Linked DNA regions of Pelodiscus sinensis. The protein of the gene in region 1 binds, or shares a complex with, the protein of each later gene. Links are inferred from orthologs where the notes say so. Each region holds a gene or a part of one and is shown in the gene's direction. Other genes may lie near its edges.

The links.
Region 2: the proteins of F7 (region 1) and POGLUT1 are in contact, whole or in part, in a crystal structure (PDB 5L0S), measured with the Homo sapiens proteins. The link is inferred for Pelodiscus sinensis from reciprocal best matches to the Homo sapiens genes F7 and POGLUT1. Residues at the interface, in NP_000122.1 of Homo sapiens: Asp108, Gln109, Cys110, Ala111, Ser112, Ser113, Pro114, Cys115, Gln116, Asn117, Gly118, Gly119, Cys121, Gln126, Ser127, Tyr128, Arg139, Asn140; in NP_689518.1 of Homo sapiens: Met103, Phe104, Pro105, Ser106, Arg107, Arg132, Asp133, Pro171, Ala172, Trp174, Pro178, Thr179, Thr214, Asn239, Gln240, Ala241, Val274.
Region 3: the proteins of F7 (region 1) and F3 are in contact, whole or in part, in a crystal structure (PDB 6R2W), measured with the Homo sapiens proteins. The link is inferred for Pelodiscus sinensis from reciprocal best matches to the Homo sapiens genes F7 and F3. Residues at the interface, in NP_000122.1 of Homo sapiens: Leu73, Lys78, Phe91, Arg96, Leu99, Phe100, Ser103, Ser120, Lys122, Gln124, Leu125, Ile129, Cys130, Phe131, Cys132, Leu133, Pro134, Phe136, Glu137, Gly138, Arg139, Lys145, Gln148, Ile150, Val152, Asn153, Glu154; in NP_001984.1 of Homo sapiens: Thr49, Asn50, Lys52, Ile54, Glu56, Trp77, Lys78, Ser79, Lys80, Phe82, Tyr83, Glu88, Asp90, Asp93, Gly141, Gln142, Thr144, Glu162, Arg163, Thr164, Leu165, Arg167, Phe172, Tyr188, Trp190, Lys191, Ser192, Ser194, Ser195, Gly196.

What each region holds. Positions count from the first base shown.
Region 1 is NC_134711.1:237,607,488-237,615,102, reverse strand, and holds the start of F7 (coagulation factor VII), read left to right. Parts: upstream 1-4,574; 5' UTR 4,575-4,663; coding exon 4,664-4,733; intron 4,734-7,615. UniProt on the Homo sapiens protein: Initiates the extrinsic pathway of blood coagulation. Serine protease that circulates in the blood in a zymogen form. Factor VII is converted to factor VIIa by factor Xa, factor XIIa, factor IXa, or thrombin by minor proteolysis.
Region 2 is NC_134711.1:163,011,501-163,019,232, reverse strand, and holds the start of POGLUT1 (protein O-glucosyltransferase 1), read left to right. Parts: upstream 1-4,703; 5' UTR 4,704-4,808; coding exon 4,809-4,887; intron 4,888-7,732. UniProt on the Homo sapiens protein: Dual specificity glycosyltransferase that catalyzes the transfer of glucose and xylose from UDP-glucose and UDP-xylose, respectively, to a serine residue found in the consensus sequence of C-X-S-X-P-C.
Region 3 is NC_134719.1:35,724,836-35,731,813, reverse strand, and holds the start of F3 (tissue factor), read left to right. Parts: upstream 1-3,935; 5' UTR 3,936-4,273; coding exon 4,274-4,361; intron 4,362-6,067; coding exon 6,068-6,182; intron 6,183-6,978. UniProt on the Homo sapiens protein: Initiates blood coagulation by forming a complex with circulating factor VII or VIIa. The [TF:VIIa] complex activates factors IX or X by specific limited proteolysis.

The sequences.
Region 1 (7,615 bases):
TGGGAGGCTAGCCCTCCCCAGCTTGCCCTGGTGGCCACTCTGGGCACCACCAGGGAAACTCTTCTGCCCCCCTCCCGGCCCCGGAGCCCTTAAAGGGGCATGGGCTGGCTACGGTGACCTTGCACCTGGCACGGCACGAACAAGCCATCCGCTGCCACCCAGCCCTCCGCCTCTTCCTGCCCGGGTCCCACCCAGCCTGCCCGGGTCCGCAAGAGGCGGGCGCCCACCTGGTCTAGTGCGGACATCGTGGACCTCATCCACGACATCCGCACTAGGCACAGGAAAGTGGCCATCTAGGGCAGGATAGCTGCCAGCCTGGCCACCCAGGAGCAGGTTTGCATGAAAATCAGGGTGGTCCAGTGAGACCCCCGACCCTGAGCCCTGAGCTTAGAACGGCCGTACTGGGTCAGAACAAAGGTCCATCTAGCCCAGTAGCCTGTTTGCCAACAGTGGCCAACACTAGGTACCCTGGAGGGGATGGACCGAAGACAATGACCAAGCCATTTGTCTCGTGCCATCCATCTCCAGCCTTCCACAAACAGAGGCCAGGGACACCATTTCTACCCCCTGGCTAATACCACTACATGGAGCCAACCTCCATGACTTTATCTAACTTCTCTTTAAACTCTATTATAGTTCTAGCCTTCAGAGCCTCCTGCAGCAAGGAGTTCCACAGGTTGACTATTTGCTTTGTGAAGAAGAACTTTCTGTTATTAGTTTGAAGCCTGCTACCCATTCATTTCATTTGGTGTCCTCTAGTCCTTCTATTATGGGAACTAATGAAGAACTTTTCTTGATGCACCCTCTCCACACCACTCATGCTTTTACAGACCTCTATCATATCCCCCCTCAGTCTCCTCTTTTCTAAGCTGAGAAGTACCAGTCTCTTTAGCTTCTCTTCATATGGGACCTGTTCCAAACCCCTGATCATTTTGGTTGCCCTCCCCTCTCCCAGCCTCTCTCTTCCCCTCTCCCACCTCCTTTTCCCAGTCTCCCCCAGTTTTGTTCAATAAAGAGAGTTTCTACTTTTGACCACACGTGTCCTTTAATTTGTACATCAGGAAGGGGGGCTAGGGATAGTTAAGTGGAAGGAGGTGAGGGAGGAATGGGGTACGAGCCCCCGATGAGGAGGACTGGGGTGGCTCTGTGGGCTCCTCGGGGTGGAAACTCTCCTGCAGCCCCCCGATTGACCCCTCCCGGATGGCAGCCTGCGGCAAGTGCAGCCAGGCTGATGGCTGAGTGCTGTGATGTGCCGTGTGTGGGCACTCAGGGCACTCCAAGCCAGGACTGCTTTGCAAGCGGGGAACCCCTGAGAACTGTCTGTCCTGGGTGGGGGTCGGGACCTTTAAGCACAGCCCTCGGCTAGCCTGAGACAGCAGCTCCACACTCTAAGTCCTAATCTGATGCCCTGCCGGCACTGCTTCCGGCCATCCTTAACCTCGGTTCAGGGTCCACTCAATGTGGACATGCTTTTAGGTCTAGATGCACTTAGTCACTAAAAAGAGGGGTGAACACTTGGGATTAGGAATTCTCTGAAACAGAAAACGCAGAGGGGTTGGTTTGGATGCTGCTGGCCCAGGTCCTAAAAAGAGGGAAAATAATTTATACTGTAAGTAATGCAGCTCTTCAAGGTAAGTTGCCAGGGCTGGCTTTGTTGCCAGGGCTGGCTAGGCAACAACTTAGGAAAGGAGTCTGTGACTCTGAAGCTAATTAGGAGGAAAGTCCCATGGGAAACTTCATTGGTGCTCTTTTTAATACTTGCTCTTCTAGTGATGCCTACCAGTGTCATCACCCCTCAGCCTAATTACACCAGTATTTCTTTGAATGAAGTGTTTCACTACATGACTCGTATATTTCCTAGATTCTCACTCCTGGGGCTTCCCTTCCATAATATTTGTATTGCAATCACAAACAAACTGTTAAATCAGAACCTCACAGGTTTGAGATACCAATAAAATGAGAGGGCGGAAATGTAAAATGTCATATGAATCACACAGAATGTACAACAGCAGTGTAATACCATTGTATGATTGATGTAATTAGGAGGGTTTGGGAACAAAATCTGATTTAGAAGTCAAATAAAGTAGATGGAAATCCATAGTCTTAGAACACAAGTACATGGAAATGCTTGTTGCTGAAGCTAGGTTTTTTTAAAAGTAAAAGTGTTAGGCGTCTGCCATGTATCCAAACATCTGTCTTTTCTTCCAGCTGGCCCCTTACGGAGATTTAGGAACAAGACTAAACGTGGCACCAAGCAAGCGCTCCAGACATAGTAATAAATTCTTATCCAAAGGGTTTTTTTGTGTGTGTGTAAGTGCCATCCCTTGTATAGGGTGAGTCAAAGAAGTTTAAAAAAAAAGCCACTGAATGTGGTGGTAGATAAAGAAATGTCAGACACGTGGCCCTATGCTCTCACTTGCATAACAGGAAGAGACTCCCTCAGACAGGACAGTGGCTTTTCTGTTCTAAGAAGATAAGATAAGAAAAATTGCAGTGTGGCTCTGACAAATATATTCTTATCTGAACTCTTTGAAAAGCTACAGTATTGTCTTGCTGTTCCTCACTCAGAGCTGCAAACAAAAAATGTATGGGTGTGTCTAGGAATTTTTTGAAAAAACTTTACCTGTGTCTAGACTGCTGCCACGTTCTGTCAACAGTAAATCAAAACACAGCAGTTTTGTGGACTGCAAAAAACCTCGTTTTACAAGGAATAATGCCTTTTTTTGAAAGTGTTCTTTCAAAATAGGCACTATGTAATGCAAACTGTGCTTTTTTGAAAGAGAGCATCCAGACTGCGGCTTGCTTTTTTGAAAGTACTGGTTGTAGTCTAGATGCTCTTTTTCGAAAGAGGCTTTTTCAAAAGTATCTTTCAAAAAAGCCTCTTTCGAAAAAGGCGTGTCGTCTTGATGTAGCCATAGTTGCAGTCTCTGCTCCTATCCCCTTCCCCATGGTCAGTGGAGACAGATTTCCTTCCCAGTTTGTCCTCCTCCCCTCATCCCCTTGTCTCTTTCCTTGAATACAGGACCCCTCCCACCTTGTCTATTCACCCCAAGATCCCCCAGAAACCTCCCTGCTGAGTAGCAGAGCTTCCCACCCCATTTCCTACTCTTCACTTGCCTTGCTTCTGCCAGTAGCCTCATTTCTCTGCAGATCATCACTTCTCCAGGTGGTTTTTCCTCTGAATGCCTATCACAGTCCCCCATCCCCCAGCTAGCTCCAAGCTAAAGGAGAGGGCAAGGTGGGGGTGGGTTTAGGGTTAGGTGAGGATAAGCCAAGGTACAAATGGGGATTTCCAATAGCAGAGGCGCGGAATATTTTGAGACTCATTCATTGTTATAGTGTCTTGTGTTCTCCAGCAGTCATACTCCTTCCCTCTTTCCTGTAACAGTTCCCACCATTAGCCTCTGAAAATTCCAGGAAATGAGTTTTCTGGGAATTAGCCAGAGTCCAATAAATAAAAGATGCCCCAAAAGGTCAGTTTTTCCATATTGTAAACCAGATGTCCAAAAAGGATGTACATCACCGCACATAAAGTGTGAGTTACAAGAACCGTGTAAATAATACATCTAGATGGGCAGGACTCTTTGATTTCTCAGGTGACAGAGACTGATTCTTTGATAGTCACTTATGACTTCAGCAGGGAGGAGATGATGATGATGAAGCCTGGCAATAGTATAAAAATTGTGCTTCCCTTCATTGTTCTGATGTGCACAAAGCAGCTGCTTTCTTTTAACCTAATGAAGTGAAGAATTGACTGGAAAATACCCCAGGCCCTATGGAATGCTCCAATCCCCATTGATAAATCATTGCATCTAACCTTGCTGATATTAGTCAAATCTTTGCTTAAGAATGTTGTAAATTATGTGTTCTGATACAATTAGCCCTTGATAGACATGAATACATAGGAATGCTTATATTCCAGATATAACTTTAGCTGTCAATTTGGTCAAACTACTACAATTATTAATTAAATGAAATTTTGCTCCATTCTTTTCTTTCCAATACACTGCAAGCCCTTTGTGTAGAAGTCCATGGTGATAAAGTACACAGCTCCTTCACTGCAGCAAAATGAGTCCAAAGCGGAACCTGGTATTCCTTGTTTGTTAATTGGTGTCGCAATATAAAATCAGACAGTGGTTCAGGGTTCCCACTGGGGACCACAAAGGAAAGCAACATGATACATTTGAAAACCTCAATAATGTGATCCCCTTCAAAGATACTCCAGATCTTTACCTTGACCCTCCCTCCCCCCCATCACCTAATCTTGGAGTTCTGATTCATCTGTGAATTGGGGGTGGCGACATACAAAATGTAATGGCATGCTATCCAGGCTGTAATTTGGCACTCATAGTCCACATTTAATAGTATGCTGTGCTGTTAGTAAGAACACACTACAACATTCATAATGTTCAGTATAGCCTTTGGGCACTATGAATGGGAATTCTTCTCAACTAAGATTTTTGCCTGTTTTTTAAGACCATGTAGGGGATTAGTTGGTACGTTTCTGCACGAATAGAATTATTTGCATGGGGTTTAGCTCTCTGTGTTTAATGACTACCCAACTCCTCCTCCAGGTCAAAGCCTTTGAAATAGAGAGCTTTCACCATGTTGACATTTCAGCAAGGGCTGCAAGATATTGGGACACTGGCATTTCTGTTTCATCATGGCTTCCAGTAACTACGTGGTTTTGCTTCTCTGCTTTATGCTATTGCTACCTCTTTTTCTGGCTACAGGTATGTCTCAGGAAACTGCTGTAATGATCATTATTTATTGCTTTGTTAATCACATGATTCTTGAGGCGTGTTGGATCATCCACAGCAATGGCTGTACAGAACGATTCCTAATGAATGTGTCTAAGTCTGTTCAGGTGTTCTAATGAGCTCGTTGTTTTGGGTGGCAATTGTGTTCATGCTCTTACTGTATCAATTGGGAAAAATTCCTGCTAGGCTCATAGATGAATAAGTTATCTCAATATGTGCACCAGAATCCGCTCCCAGGGAACCAAAGGGCACTAGTAATCATAGAGCTCAGTCAATCCACAGAGTGACACCCTTCCCCCCTCCCCACCAAGACTTGATCAACAATAAAAAAAATACAATTCTACGAAGATTTCCGTATACCTTTTTAGCTATAGAATGGTGGTGCCCTTAGATTCTCTTCCCTTCAGTAAGTTAATGAGGACAAGTGAAGTAAGAAAGCAATTGCAAAAAATTAAAAATATCGGTATTCAACAAAATGAAAGGATGAAACTTGATATGAGCATAAGAAAAAGACATTGCACTGTGTGTACTATAGTAAATACGTATACAGACGTAATTATCATGGAAGCCATCTACAGTAATCCCTTTTATGTTTTTAAATATATATATGTTAATGATAATTTGGTGGCTGGTAATCTAGGAACAGAAATACTCTAGTACAAGTATGAGTGGAGTAAACTTCCAAACCCCCCTCCTATCAGTGTGGCTGGGCACTGCCTGGCAGAGATACCTCCAAATGGAAGACTGTTCATTTTCCATTGGGAATTATGTTGGAGAGGAAACATTTTGGGACTACTCTGCTCAAGCTCCATCTTCTATCCCCAGCTTTACCCACCATCCCAGAGCAGTTGAATGTTTCTGTCAAAATGCTCAGAAGTAAAATTGTCATCACTAGGCTTCAGAATCAACTAATTAATATATGGTAGGACATTGTTCACCTCGTAGAATGATTGTTTTTTTTACAGTCTACTATGTCAAGATTCAGAAATACATCACTGAGTTGCATTATTTATTATCAGTTTATTATCAGTTACCAGCATTAATAAATGCTAATAAATGTCATTGCGATGGTAGACGCCACTCAGGTTGGCCTGGTGCAGGAGTGGGGCAAAAGCAGACCTGGCAGCCATCTTGTCCATGAAGGACCCGCTGCTCCACCACCACCTCACACTGTCTGCGCACACAGTGCACTCTCACCTGCTGAGAGCACTGGAACCACTGGAGTGTGTCATCCAGGTGCCAGTCGGCTAGGTCCTAGCCAGCCTGCCCAACTCCCTCCCTCGCAAATATAACTTAGATAGGGCCACGATAAGGTGGGTGCATAATTGGCTGGATAACCGTAGTCAGAGAGTTGTTAACGGTGCTAAATCCTGCTGGAAAGGGATAACAAGTGGAGTTCCGCAAGGGTCTGTTTTGGGACCCGTACTGTTCAATATCTTCATCAATGATGTAGATATTGGGATAGAGAGTATGCTTATTAAGTTTGCAGATGATACCAAACTGGGTGGGGTTGCAACTTCTTTGGAGGATAGGGACATAATTCAAAATGACCTTAGCAAGTTAGAGAAATGGTCAGAGGTAAACAGGATGGGGTTTAATAAAGAGAAATGCAAAGTGCTCCACTTAGGAAGGAACAATCAGTTCCATACATACAAGATGGGAAGCGACTGTCTAGGAAGGAGCATGGCGGAAAGGGATCTAGGGGTCATAGTGGACCACAAGTTGAATATGAGTCAACAGTGTGATGCTGTTGCAAAAAAAGCAAATATGATTCTAGGTTGTGTCAACAGGTGTGTTGTAAGCAAAACTCGTGAAGTCATTCTGCCGCTCTACTCTGCACTAGTTAGGCCTCAGCTGGAGTATTGTGTCCAGTTCTGGGCGCCACATTTCAAGAAAGATGTGGAGAAATTGGAAAGGGTACAGAGAAGAGCGACAAAAATGATTAAAGGTTTAAAGAACATGACCTATGAAGCCAGGCTTCATGAACTGGTCTTGTTTAGTTTGGAAAAAAGAAGATTAAGGGGGGACATGATAGCGGTTTTCAAATATCTAAAAGGGTGTCACAAGGAGGAAGGAGAAAATTTTGTTCCTCTTGGTTTCTGAGGACAGGACAAGGAGTAATGGGCTTAAAGTGCAGCAGGGGAGGTTTAGATTGGACATTAGGAAAAAATTCCTAACCGTCAGGGTGGTCAAATATTGGAATAAATTGCCAAGGGAGGTGGTGGAATCTCCCTCTCTGGAGATATTTAAGAACAGGTTAGATAGACATCTGTCAGGGATGGTGTAGACGGAGCTTGGTCCTGCCTTGGGGGCGGGGGGCTGGACTCGATGACCCCTCGAGGTCCCTTCCAGTCCTATTATTCTATGATTCTAAGGTGCAGCCTCCATTCCACACTTGGCTAACTTATTCCCTAGAGCAGCATCTGGCTGCCACATGGGAGTGATTGTTACAATAAATAAACCCTGTGACAGACACTAGATCTGGGAGGCTCTAGGGTCCCAGCTCTGCCTCAGTGGGATCAGCCCAGGGAGCTGGGCTGCTCTCTTGTCCCTTGTGGCTGGGCAAAGCTGAGCCAGCATTGTCCCCAGCTGCAGCCCTAGGATGGGGGATGTGGTTCTGGGAGCTTCCCTCACGTGGGGGAGGGCAGGGCACTGCGGGGAGCTGCCCTGGCTGAGGAGACTGGGAGCTGTCCCTCAGGGAAGGCACTGAAAGCAGGGAGTGCTACGCCTCCCCTCCACCAACCCACCATGTGCTGGCATTGCACCCCCAGACCCTATCCCACAGGGTAGGGCCCAGGGCTGCTCTCCCTGCCTGCACAGCACCCCCACCCCAGGGCCAATTGTTGCTCTGCTCA
Region 2 (7,732 bases), about 75 Mb from region 1:
GTCAGTGGTTCCTCCCACAAAGCTCCAGGCTTAGGGGGAAATTGAAGAGAGGAGGTGAGGAGAAGTAAGCTTGGTGTTTGAAATGAGAATGAAGGGATTCCGATTAAGCTCCTAGCCAAATCACTTTGGGAAGGCTCCAAGCTTAAGCAAAGCTGCATATTCCAAAAGCAAACACCACTGGCCCGGGGTACTTTCATTACAGAAGACCAGGAGAGAGAGAAGAAAGGAAGGAAAGAGAGAGAGAGAGAGAATTACTAGGTTCACAGGAGTTTCATCTCAAACTTGACCATGAAGGTGAATTTACATCAAATAAGCTGGGCCCTAGAAAGACTTAGTGGCTATTGACCGTTTCTGCTGGCTACATCTCCTACTGTCTGCCTCAGAAAGAGCACTGCAAATAATAATCTTCAGCTGTACAGTACTACAATCCGACTGGCTGTGCAGCAGGTTGGCATGCAAACTACAAGAGGTAACCACAAAGAGAAAATTGACATTGACCCAGGACAATGAGTAGGGTATCAGAGACCCCAATGGGGAAATATGTTCTGAAACTTGAAATGGGAGACAAGCAGAGAACAACACTATTACAGTAATAGTAATAGCGGATCAGGTATGTAGAAAGGCCCAGAGTGACACAGGAGGTCTAAGGCAACTTCACAAGTTACAAAGATGTAAGGCATTCATGTTATGGTTACTTACTCAAGCTTTTGTAAGATTTACAAGAGTAGCCAACACAATTTATAGGCAGCAGGTATAAAACAAATATAGAGAAATACTTCACAAAATGCACAGTCAACCTGTGGAGCTCATTGCCAGGGTATGTTGTGAAAGCCAGAACTATAACAGGATTTTAAAAAGAATGAGATAGGTTCATAAGGATAGAATAGGACTATTAGCCAAGATGGTCAGAGATGCTAGCTTCTGTTCTGGATGCTGAGACTGGATGACAGGGGATGGATCACTTGACCGTTGCCTTAATCAGTTCATTCCCTTTGAAGCAACTGGCATCGGCTACTGTTGGTAGACAGGACACTGGGCTAGGTGGAGCTTTGGTCAGACCTAGTATGATCATTCTTATGTTCTTAATTTTAGAACTATTCATATCACTTGCACAGATGCAGCATTGTACCCTTAGAACAGGAACAGAACAATAGATTCTGTTTATGCAGAAAGCAATAAGGCTGCTTCTGACAACCACCACTGAAAGGAGCTGATATTTTCCTCTTTTTTGGGGGGGGAGGCTAATATGGGGTAAGAAGAGTTTGGGACCAGCATATGAGAAATGCCTTGGATTTTCCAATTTCTCACTATAGGTAGTGTTACCACTTTTGACCTAAGAAGCTAGTCACAATTTGGGCCCTACAGGTGTTCCCATTTGGAAGAGAAATCTGCAATGGGTCCAGGTATCTTTAATGCAATCTTGTTTGTTTATAGAGAATGTACAATGTTCTGTTTCCCTGAACACAAGATGAGCCAAACATCAGGAGAGCCTCGCAGTCCTATATTTCTTTTAGCCAGCAACTGGCCCCAAAGCTCTCTCTCTCTAAGCTTTTCCAGGATGACATATTAAGTGCTTGTTCAGGGCATTACTGATTCTGCCTTCTCTCTCAGCTTCTCTGTAGTTTCTTAGAAATCAGATGAGATCAGTGTCAGAGATGCCCGGGTTTTTTTTGGGGGGGGGGAGGGGGGAATTACAAAGCAAAAGGAAAATAAAGAAAAAGCTTGTTGTCTGTACCTATAATTTTCAGACAAGACCCCCAGGACAGCTCACCTCCTTCCAAGCTTTCCTGTCGGCATAGTAGCATCTTCAGTAAAGTGATACAGTGGCCTAGCTGTTCCACTGCCGCACTGTACATGAAGTCAAGACCTAAGACCAGAAAGGACCAATGTGATCATCTAGTCTGACCTCCTACATAACACAAGCTAGAGAACACCGAGATATTATTATGATATGCTTATGGCATAATTATGATGTATTTTATTCAGTATAGGCCATGTGAGGTATCATTGAAAAGGTTATGATTTGCTGAATATGATTATCCTATTTGTTCTGGTATCCTGGAAAAACACCCCAGTCTAGAGGTACCCTAAGTCATATCCATTATCAAGTTTGTGCTCCTCATATGGGTACTTAGGGTACATCTACACAATAGTGTTATTTCAGAATAACTGATGTTATTCCAAAATAACATAGTCCGCATCTAAACTATAATAATGTTGAAATAATGGCGAACTGGAGGACTACTTATGCTGACTCCTGTAACCCTTATTTTATGAGGCATAAAAGAAGTCAGAGGAAGAGTGCTCTGCCTCAGACTTCTTGCTGTGTAGATAGCATCAATAGCCAAAATAAGCTATTTTGGCTTAGGCTACACAATAGACATTGCTGAAGTTGCGTAGCTTATTTCAGATTTAGCCCTGCTGTGTATCATGCCCTATAGACTGAATGAGTCATAAAAACATAGGAACAGCCATCCAGGATCAGACCAAAGGTCCATCTAGCCCAGTATCCTGTCTTCCGAGAGTGGCCAATGCCAGATGCCTCACAGGGAGTGGACAGAACAGGAAATCTTCAAATGATCTCTTTCCTGTCATCCATTTCCAGGCACTTACTGACAAACAGAGGCTAGGGACACCATTCCTACCTATCCTGGCCATTGATGGACCTAACCTCCATGAATTTATCTAGTTCTTTTTTTAACCCTGTTCAAGTCCTGGTCTTCACAAAATCCCCTGGCAAGGAGTTCCACAAGTTGTCTGTGTGCTGCATGAAGAAAAACTTCTTTTTGTTTGTTTTAAACCTGCTACCTATTAATTTCATTTGGGGACCTCTAGTTCTTGCGTTCTGGGAACAAGTAAATAACTTTTCCTTATTCACTTTTTTCCACGCAAGTCATGATTTTACAGACCTCTATCATATCCTCCCTTCGTCTCCTGTTTCTCTAAGCTAAAAAGTCCCAGGCTTTTTAATCTCTCTTCATATGGAACCTATTCCAAACCCCTCATCATTTTTGTTGCCTGTTTCTGAAACTTTTCCACTGCAAATATGCCTTTTTTGAGATGAGGCCACCATATCTGTATACAGTATTCAAGATGCGGGTGTACCATCGTTTTATATAGGCACAATAAGATAAGAGTCTTATTCTCTATCCTTTTTAAATGATTTCTAACATTCTTTTTGCTTTTTGAACTGCTGCTGCTGCCCATTAAGTGGATGTTTTCAGAGGACTCTCCATAATGACTCCAAGATCTCGCTCTTGAGGGGTTATAGTTAAATTAGTACCCATCCTTTTGCATGTATAGTCGAGATTATTTTTCCAGCATGCATTCCTCTACATTTATCAATGTTACCTTTCATGTGCCATTTTGTTGCCCAATCACATAGTTTGGTGAGATCTTTTTGAAGCTGTTCACAGTCTGCTTTGGTCTTAACTATCCTGAGCAGTTTAGTATCATTTGCAAATTTTGCCACTTCACTGTTTACCCCTTTCCCCAGATCATTTATAAATAGGTTGAATAGGATTTGTCCCAGTACGGACCGTTGGGGAACACCGCTAGTTACCTCTCTCCATTCTGAAAACTTTGTATCCTGTCTTTTAAGTAGTAATCAGTCCATGAGAGTACCTTCCCTCTGATCCCATGACAACTTCCGTGACTTAAGAGCCTTTGGTGAGGGACCTTGTCAAAAGCTTTCTAAAATCTAAATCCACTATATCCACTGGTTCCCCCTTGTCCAAAGGTTTGTTGACTCCCCTCAAAGCACTCTTGTAGATTTGTAAGGCGTGATTTTCCTTTACAGAAACCATGTTGACTTTCTCCCAACATCAGTCTGACAATTTAATTCCTGACCATAGCTTCAACTAATTTGCCCGGTACTGATGTTAGACTTACTGGTCTGTAATTACCAGAATCACCTTTAGAGCCCTTTTTAAATATTGGCATCACATTAGCTATCTTCCAGTCATTAGGTACAGAAGCTGATTAAACGACAGATTACCAACCACAGTTAATAGTTCCACAATTTCACATTTGAGTTCTTTTGGAAATCTTGGGTGAATGCCATTTAGTCCGGGTGTATTGCCCCTTAACCATCTCTTTTTTAAGCTACATTGATTGAGCTTTCAGAGTCACTATCAAGCAGGTTTTAAATCCTTTCATCATTCTTGTAGCTCGTCTCTGAACGTTTTCTGATTTATCAACTTCCTTTTCCAATTACTGATAGCATTATTCCAGCAATGGTAGCACTAATGCTCTGGCCAGGGAGTGCTGAGACCCAGCTTCTAGCAAGAGACCCACTCAGCCCTGGCTGCTGCACCCCCTGGCTTGAAGTTATTTCTATCCCACAGGGTTTAGAGCTGGGCTCAATGGCTCACCGCACCTCCTACTCACCCCACTGGTGGTGTTCACATTCCTAGTGTCGACAGCCAGACCAGCTGGCTTGGTGAGCAGCCCAGGGGCCTCAGGGCTGGGGCCACCCCACAGTTGCTCCTGGGCAGGGAGGGGCTGTGCTCCATATACTGAGCTGTGATGTGCCAACTCGGGCACTACAACTCCCATCAGGTAAAGCGAGTCGGTCCCGGATGTGGAATTGACTATAGCGGCGACCATCTTTGTGCGGGGCACCGTGTCCCTTTCTCCCCTGCGGTGGCGGCCATCTTTGTGCAGGGCGCTTCTTCCTCCCGCCCTTCTACATTTTTTTTTTCTTCTGAATCAGCTATCGGCCTGATGGAACGCAGAGGGGCCGGCTCGCCGCGCGCAGGCGCAGTGCGGGGGGGGGGGGCAGCGGCAGCTGTCCGCCGGGCTGCACAATGGGGCCGCTGGTGGCCTGGGCGCTGCGAGCGGCGGCTCTGTCCCAGCTCGTGCTCAGCCAGGGGAGCAGCGCTGCAGGTGAGAGGCTGCGACCGGGAGGGGCGGGGCGCGCTCCCCCACTCTCCTTCCCCCCGGCACTGGGGAGCGGGGTGTGTCTCCCGCCCCCCGAGCCCCGTCCCCCGCTGCAGCCTCCAGCGCCGCCTCTCCCTCGCTCAGCCCCACGTGTGCCGGGCCGAGCCCTCCCCAGCGCCTCTTGCCTCCTGCCCGGCTGGGACCCTGCTCCCGGGCCTGCGCCACCCTAGGCAACGCCGCCTTTGCGGCTGCCCCTGCCTCTTCTGTTTGGCTCAGCCTCCTGCTGGTCACTGCGCCCGCTCGCCCCTCTTCCTCCGAGTGACCCGCCCGCCCTGCGCAGATGCTCTCTGCAGCGGAGCGGCCCCGCGCTACCCCTAGCGTGGGAAACGGATGCAAACTCCCTGCGTCTTGTAGCCTGTTTGTACTTAGCTAGGGGCTGCAGAGATTAGCCCCCGGGCTTGCCTGTCCGGAGCTGGAAGTGGGGTTGGATGCGTGCGGGGCGTACAGCAGGGGCAGGCTGAGGGAGGCGGCCCTAGTGGGGCACTTAGCTTGCCTCAAAGACACCCTTTAGAACAGGGGTGCCCCAGAGAAAGCCTTGTTTGTTGGGCTTAGCATCCCGTGTTTTCCTGCACCTCTCGTATCTGCCTGGTTTTTTTCGTCTTTGAACCAACTTGTCACTAAAGAATGCAAACCAGGGTTTCTAGAAGCAGTTCTTTTGCTGGTGGAATGAGGGGGCTGTGTCTCAGTCTTATTTAATATGCAATATAAAAGGAGGCTATAAGCTCTTTGGGACAGGGACTGTTTACTGAAGGTTGTGTAGCACACATCATTAGAGCTCTCTGTGCTGATACAAAATTTGTATCCGCATCTACATCTGCAAAAATGAGCCACGGATATCCACATTTGTGGATGTGGATACCTGTGGCTATAAAGCGGATAGCTGTGGATTTGCAGGGCTCTCCACACTGTAACTCTATCTCTGGGTCTTTCTGTAATACAAACAAATTTTATATAGAGAACCTCCGCACAGCACCTGATTATTAAAAAAAAACACTTTGTCCACTGCTGAAGGGCAGTTATCTGAAGTGGAGTAAGCCAGTTGTTCAACAGCACACAGTAACGTTAAAGGAGAACTTAGGACAGGAGATGAATGTTACTATAGCTAAATGAAGCTAGAGTGGAACAGAAGTAGGTGAATGTTAAATCACCCAAATTCCCATTTATCTCACACACAGACATAACTCTCTATAAGTATAGGGGATATATCATGGGACAGAAGCTGTCAACCTTTTTCTTGTTAAGGCTCCCCTGAACATGCTATAAAAACTGAGGATGTTAAAATGTATTTATTGAAAATGTCATCTGTTACGCATTCACATGCCGGGGTGGGAGGGAGCTGGCTTTTAAGCTGGCTCACCACACATGCTGACTTTGTGCCTGCCCACCCACCCCCTCTGCAGCATGAGGGTGGGGGGGGGGGGATTGTGTATGATTGTGAAGGTTAATCAATGAGCCCAGGTTCATCAATTAACCATGGACACATTTATACTTTCACATGCCTAATAAAAACTCTAGAGCTTTGGGGCTCTGGGCTGAGGGGCAAGACCCTTGCTCATAGGAATAGTTTTAATTTTTTGGAGAGGGGATAAGGGCTGCTGGTGGTTGGGCCAGCTCTGCACAGGGGAGCCAGGGAAGAAGTGCCACTGAGTTGTGGAAGGAAACAACCAAAATTATAACTCAAAGTGTGTGTGGGGAGAAGGTGGGGGGAGAGAGAAATTCAGCTCAGAAATTTTGAAAACTGCTCAGGGTGCAGGCTGGGGTTAGCTAGGAGCTGTGTACTGGTATGGGGATAGTTAAGGGTGAAGGCAGGGGAATAGGTTTGGCAGAGAGGTAGCTAAGGGTGCAGGCAGAGGTGAGGGCTTCCAATGTAGTTCCCAGTTTAAATGGGGGCAGGAGCGCTGGAGTGGCTAACGTGAGGACGGGGGAGTGGGAGGCTGGTTTCTGCCTTGTGCTGCACCTGTGGGACACTGTAGCACAAGGCACCAGGTTTCAACCTCAGGGTGCTGCGGTCTCCCTGAAAGGGCTCACAGGCTCTGAGTTGAGAACTACTGCCATGGGATCTTACAGGCTGTGAATTGTCAGGAATACTCCTCCTCCCATCCCATCCCCCTAGGGTTGCCAGGTTTCCGGTTTTCTACCAGACAGTCCGGTTTTTGTGCCCTCTGTCTGGTAAAAAAAAATTCAGAAAATACTGGACTGTGCAATGTCTGGTATTTTCTGTTTTTCTGGCTGGGCGCCGGACGGAAGCCTGGCAGGGGCGGGGGGAGTGGCTGGGAGGCGGGGCTGCGATCGGCGCTTGGAGCCTGTGGTCGCGTGCAAAAGCCTGGCGGGGGTGGGGGGAGTGGCTGGGAGTCCTGGCCACTCCCCCAGCCCCCACCAGGATTCTGCACACAACCAGAGGGAGTCCCAGGCTGGGAGGCGGAGCCGTGATCTGGTTGCATGCAGAAGCCTGGTGGGGCACAATTGGTGCTGGGAGCCCTCAGCAGATTGCATCTGGGGAGGAGGAGAAGCCCTGTCCCTGCTCCTGAGCGCTGTTCAATTGCATTGTGGTGCGGGGAGAGAAGCCCTGAGGTGCTTTATAATTGCGTTTAGGCGCCTTCCATGGACTCTCAGCCAAAACTGACTGGGGTGGAATTTCTGCTTCTTCCCATTGGGACACCCAAAGACCTGGCTATGGGGGAGTCATCTTCCTGCCTTGAGGGCGGGGGGCTGGACTCGATGACCTCTCGAGGTCCCTTCCAGTCCTATTATTCTATGATTTATTCTATGATTCCTACCCATGGTCGCTTCC
Region 3 (6,978 bases), on another chromosome or scaffold:
AAAGAAAGGATACTGAGGAATCTAAACCATTGGAATGACCCAGTGTCAGCATTCTTATGTTCTTACTTTTAATTCTTTATAGAAAAACTGTAAGGAAATAAAAATGAAAATAAAATTCTAGAGCATAAAAGCTTTACATAAATGGCTCTTCTCTGTAACCAAAGGGGAAAGATTTCTCCATATAAAGCTCTCTTTAAATGAAGAAACACAGACTGCAGAATTCACAAGGTCATTATCTTGTCATCAAAATATTTACTGCAGAAGACAATCTAATCCCACATATAAAATAAGATTGTTATATAAAGAATGAAAACTTTCTGCTGGAAAAGTGCAGCTGCATAACGGCATACAATACTGAAATTTAATCTAAAGCAGTGAAGAAAAATTAGAAATTGTGTGGCATATACTGAACCATGATGCAACAAAGGGTTGAATTTAGCTTGGCCTTAAATATTATTTTTAAATGACAAAACAGAACTGACGCTTTAAAAGATTTAATGTGCTGAGCCTGCCAGTAAATGGCAATTAAAACTAATGTGTTTTGTAAACATACAGATACTGACCTGCCCATTCTTCTTGCCATCCTTTTTTCTCCCCTCTTTCTCCTACAGACTCCAAGCACTGGACTTTGTCAAATTCAACTTTGATTCCAGAGGAACAGTCAGCTTCATGCCACAACATATACATGCACATACCCCCTCTCATTTTATAGCTTTTTCTATACATAGCGTTGCTGCTATTTGACATTTAGTTGGCACTTTTCAGATCACCAAATATATACAATAGTGAAATACCACAGGCTAAAAGGTCATGCAGACTATTGGAAGGTGGCATGCAGGGAGGAAAGTGCAACAGGGTGTCTAGTAATCACATGCAGCCTAAAGAATTTCTGATTTTTTTAAGTGAGACTAAGAAGTCCTAATAAAGAAAGAGATGGAGAGAAAAGAAGTCAGGGCAATGCAGTGGGGAGATGGATGGGCTTGTGGTTAGGGCTCTAGATGGGGATTCAGAAGATTTTGGTAAAAAGGCTACAGACTTCTTACATAGTTTTGTGCTAGTTACTTATCTTCTCAGCACCTCACCTTTAAAACTGCTATAATATGTTCTTTCTTTACAATGTTATTATTATGACAATAACTCCAGAAACACTTGAGACGTATTCAAATACTATGGTGACGAATGATCCATGTCACATTATCATCACAGGAATGCAAGAGAGTATGCACAGAAACAGGGATGCTGAACCAATTTGCTAGCGGGAATGCTGAGAGCCTCTGAACCAAACCATGAACTCTTCAGATAATGGAACCCCCATTCAAGGCAGAGGGTAGGTGCAGAAGCATTTCCAGAACCCTTAGTTCCAGAACTTACGCACAGACATTCACCTTCAAAAGTTACACATTTCTAATTTGCTGAACAAAAAACAATTCCTCTAGTTTTGCTGATAATTTATTTGGGCAAGAAATTATTTCCAATAGATGGCATTGGTACACACTAACAAATTAGGGATGTTAAAATTAGATTAATCAACTAATCAAATAGTCAATAGAATTTCCATTGACTATTTGATTAGTCGATAAGGGTACTTCCGCTTTGAAATGTAGCAGGAGTCTGCACAGCTGTTGCTACATTTCAAATGTGGAAATGCTGCAGGGAGTTCTGCCTTTGAAATATACAAGAACCCATGGGGGGGGACTCTTGTACATTTCAAAGGTGGAACGCCACTGCTGCATCCCTGCCCCCTCCCATGGAGCTGGAACTGGGGGGAACCTGCTTTTAAGCCAGCTCCCTCCAGAGGCCTCTCCTGTTCCCTCCCCTTGCTGCCTCTTTCTGATAGAGGCAGCAAGGGGGGTGGGAAGTGACTAGTTGACTAGTGTGTCAACTATCCAATAAGCTTTTGCTTATCGGATAGTCAACTAGTCGCTAACAGCCTCTCCCCCAGTTACGAACGAGTTACGGACCGAACACTTGGCCATAACTCGATTTGTTTGTAACTTGGACCCCATTGAGTTACATAGCAACCGCACTGTTCGTAAGCGCGTGTTGCGTTCGTAACTCAGGGACCGCCTTTACAACCGCTCTATGGGAGCTTTGGTCATAAATGTGAACTGTCGTAACTCAACCGTTCGCAACTCAGGGACCGTCTGTACATCCCTATAATGAATTCATTCCAAGTTGTGCACAGCCACAGAATAATGTCATGCAAACCATTTTCTCCAGTTTCATTTTAATGCAGTTTATACTTTCTGCATGTTTGAGTCTGGGGTTTGAATGGACCAAAAATCACAAAAACAGTGAGTAGACCTGTGGCACTTTAGAAACTAACAAAAACATATAGTATCATGAGTTTTCATGGTCAAGATCCACTTCATCAGATGCTCACGTTTTGTTAGTCTCTAAGATGCCACAGGGCTATTATTTTTTTATAGTTACAAACATGGTTTGTAACTCTAATCACAAGAGGATATAAGAAAGAGGAGCAGATCTTTATACAGATATGAGCTACAGGATATATGACAGAGATCGTCAAACTGTGGCTTTGCAGCAACATGCAGCTCTTTTACTGTTAAAACGCAGCTCCTGGAGATCTTTCCCTGCCCCCCTTCACCGACCAGACTGGTTTGGTAGAGTGGGGGCTTTTGCCCATTGCCATGGGGAGAGGGTCCACAGCCCTGAGCCCTAGCAGGTGTGCCCTGCCTCACTATTATATGCAGCTCCCAGGGTCAGTAAGTTTGGCCACTCCAAAATATAACAAGAAAGATATTTCTACCACCTTGGAATCCAGGTACTAACTAGAAGAAAGAAAAAGTTAAAAAAACAAGGAATAGTCTTGCAGCACCATATAAGGGTATGTCTACACTTGCACCCTCTTTTGAGAGAGGGATGCAAATGAAGACATTTGAAATTGCAAATGAAGCCGGGATTTAAATATCCTGCACTTCATTTGCATAGTCGCGTTATGGCGCTATTTCAAAATAGCGCTATTTCGAAATAACAGACGCTGTTAAGACGCGGTTACTTTGAGAGAAAACCCTTCTCTCGAAATAACCCTTATTCCTCATACAGTGAGGTTTACCAATTATTTCAAGAGAAGGATTTTCTCTTGAAGTAACTGCGTCTGTTATTTTGAAATAGCGCTATTTCGAAATAGCGCCATAACGCAATTATGCAAATGAAGTGTGGGATATTTAAATCCTGGCTTCATTTGCAATTTCGAATGTCTTCATTTGCATCCCTCTATTGAAAGAGAGTGCAAGTGTAGACAAACCCTTAGGCTATGTCTAGACTGCAAGCCTCTTTCGAAAGAGGCTTTTTTGAAAGTATCTTTCAAAATAGCCTCTTTCAAAAAAGAACATCTAGACAACAAGCTTTTTCGAAAAAGCGGCTCACTTTTTTGAAAGAGAGTCTAGATGCTCTCTTTCGAAAAAGCGCTGTTTTAATGCAATAGCGCCCGAAAGATGACTTGCAGTAGTCTAGATGCAGGTACAGTTTTTTTTTTAACTTTTTTCCAAAAAAACCTGTAGTTTAGAGATCTTAGAGACTAATAAAACATGTAGGTGGTATCATGAGATTTCGTGGGCACAACCCACTTCTTCAGATGAACTCTTTCTTTAGAAGAAAGAAGACTGCAAAAACAGGCCTCTTCAAATTAACTCTTTTCTCCCCCTGCCCTTTTCTTTGAGGCCGCAAACACTATCTCTGCCCTCTCCCCCCACCCCATAGGATGGGCGCAGGAGCTAAACCACGATGACTGTGCCCCTCTCTAGAACGAAGGTGCTTGGGCGAAGAGGGGTCACCGAAGCGCGGGCTACAGGTTCCCCTGCGAGCCCAGCCTTGCTGAGGACCGAGCCCTCTGCTTGAGGCAGGCAGCTGGCCGGTCTAGAGCAGGGGAAGAGGCTGCGCAGCAGCTCCCCGGAAGGCGCCCTCTTCCGCCAGGCGAGGGAGAAGGGAAGAGCGGGGCAGGGGAGGAGTGTCCCTTCTCCCCCGCCAGGAGCCGGGCTTTTCACTTCTCTGCCGGTGAATAGGCAAAAAGTGAAACCGCTCCGGCCCCGCTCGCTCGCTCGTTCTGTTCCCCGGCACCTGGCCGAGGGGAGCGGCGGGGAGCTCCGCACCTCGGCGCGGGACTGAATCACCGCCAGTGACTCAGCCCCAGCCCTCCCCGTCTGCGCCACCCGGCTATAAAGAGCGTCAGTCCCGCCTCCCTGACAAACTTCGCTCGGACAGCGGCAGCGACCGTCCCCTGCAGGCACCTGGACTCGACGCGACGCGAGGGATGGCGAGCGCTTCGGACGCCTTATTCGCAGCCTGGGGCCGGGCGCTGCTCCTGGCCGCGCTGCTCTCCCGGCTGGGTCCCTGCGCAGGTGAGTGTCGCTGCCCAGCGCCGCCCGGTGCCTTCGCCCTCCCTGCCGGGCCAGCAGCTCAGCTGATGCGGCTCGCTCCCCGAGCCCGGGGGCAGTGCCCAGCGGGGCGCCCCGCGGGCCAGTCTGCCCCGCCGCGGAGGGGAGCGGTACAGAGACTTCTGGGGCGCGCCGCTTCCGCGGGGATGCTGTTGGGGTAAAGCCTGGGGGCAATGTCCGGCCCGAGCGCGGGCAGGCGGACGGAGAAACGAGGCTGTAGGAGGGGTTTCGAGGATAAAAGGCAACATCCAGGAGCCCTCCCTGGGAGCTGCACCTGGGCGCAAGAGCCGTGGCTGGCTTGAGGGCCATAACCCCGCGGCCGAAGGGGCGAGACTGGTGCCATCGGTGTGTCAGAATTCCCAGCGCCACCGGGGCTGGCACGTTTGGCTGGACTTGGGAGCTGTAGAGGTGGGGTCGTGCCGCAAATGGAGCCCGTGGCTCCAGGAAGTACCTATGGAATGAACAGGGCTCTGCTGAAACTTAGACTGACGACAGCAGAGCCCATGAGAGCACCAGGGGGGTTTGCCCATTTCCCTTTCTAGGGAAAGTTACATATTTTGCGCCTCTTTTTCTACAGTTCTAGATTCAAAATTAAGTTTCAGCGTTATAGTTGTTTATGGGTAGGTTGGAGACTGATCTTTTATGTTACTAAATGGTAAAGCGAAGGAGAGAAGGCAGGTAATACATTTATTAAGAATGATGTGCTGTTAGCACCAACATTTTACTGGAATTATTTGGAGTCTCGTTTCAATATCTCCACCTTGGACTGCTCTGATTTTTATATATATATATATATATTTTTTAAAAGCATATCAAATGAGTTATATACTTACAGAAGCAAGTGATATTCATACAAGGAAACAGATTATAAAAATTTTAAAACAATTATTTCCATTTTAATATAGTTGTGTGAGGAACGTATGACCTTTTAATGCACTACTCCCTGTGCTTTGACTAGTGTTGTAGGATTTTTCACATACTTCTAGTTCTTTAAACTGAATTTAGACTTCATTAAATTTATGATTGGAAATGTTGAAAATTAATACTAAAGTGTACAATATACATGCACTTTTTCGCTTTTATAAAACGAAATTTTGCAGTTATTTGGTGCACAGTTTACTTGTCTGTGTGCTTTTTAAAATAAGAAAAAAGTAAGTCAGATCTGCAATTGCTATGGTTGAGAATTCATCTGAATAAGAATCAGGAAACTCAGTTATTGGATTCTATACTATAAATTATTTTTACCTATACTGTATGTAATATATATGAATGGCAAATATGATGCAAAATCTCACATTTCTTTCAAGTCTTTACATGCTCATTATAAAATATGTGTGTTGGCTTAAACTGTAGTAAAACAACAGAAGCAAGCAAAATTCTGAACAGTTCCTAGATGCATCCAGTGGTCTTTCTGCACATTTGGGGCCAACTATGCTGTACTGCAAAAGATTTAGATCATCAAGTGGGAGGAGAGGAACTTTCTTCCCACATTTGCCAATAAAAAAAAGAATTTTCCATAGCAGAAGTAAAATGAATATGATGTCTGTGATTTTTTTTCTCCCCACAAACCATTATAAATAAAAATTTTACTTCTGCTAAATAGGGAATGTAATAAATCTAGAGCTCTATATAATGTGACTCATCACAACTTTTTTTTCCTGTCTTTAAAGGTAATTCAGAACTGCCAACAGCAGTTAATATAACTTGGTCATCAATCAATTTCAAAACAATACTACAGTGGCAACCCAAGCCAACTAACTATGTCTATACAGTAGAAATATCTGGGTAAGTAGATAAAATTATAAGTATGAGTGCCTGTACCCCTGCCCTTCTGTCCACTGGATTATAATGAATGGCAATTTTAAACAGACATTTGAGATCAAGACAGAAAAAGTATAGTCATGCTGGCAGAATGATTGAATATCTTGAATCTATTAATGTAATGCACAGAGTCCAAACATGGGAACTTTTAGGAAAGTTATGATCCCTATTTTGGGTTTTGGTTGCTTCCAAATGTATGTGTACCTGATTCCAGTCTCTGAGTCTGCTCATTGTAGAAATGAAATGTATGGATCAGATGCTGGCTCTGGGGTTTCAATACAGGCCACCTGGTACTGGAAAATTTGGCCAAAAATATTTTGCACCGGTTTAGAGCCCTTCATGAAGACTACATTTAAAAAAAATCATAGGTTTCATCTGTTAAAACAGGGGTTCTCAAACTTGTGATACCACTGCTGCATGATACCACCCTCTCAGTTGCTTGCGACCTCCCTCTAAGTTGCTTGCGACCCTCCAGAGGGTTGGGACCCACAGTTTGAGAAACACTGTGTTAAAACAATTCCCTCATTTTAATGCTGAGAGAAAGTAGTTGCAGACATCTCATAGATATGACTAATTTTATTCTAATTTAATGATTAATGCATTAGTTAAGTAGCTCAGTGCTATTTAGCCTTGCTGGGTAACTTTAAAAAATAATCTCTCCATCTAACTGCCTAAGCTTACTTCAGTTCATGGATTATAGAATTAATAAATGGTCTGGTAGCATTTGACTGGTAAAAACTCCAGTCATCTGAAGAAGTGG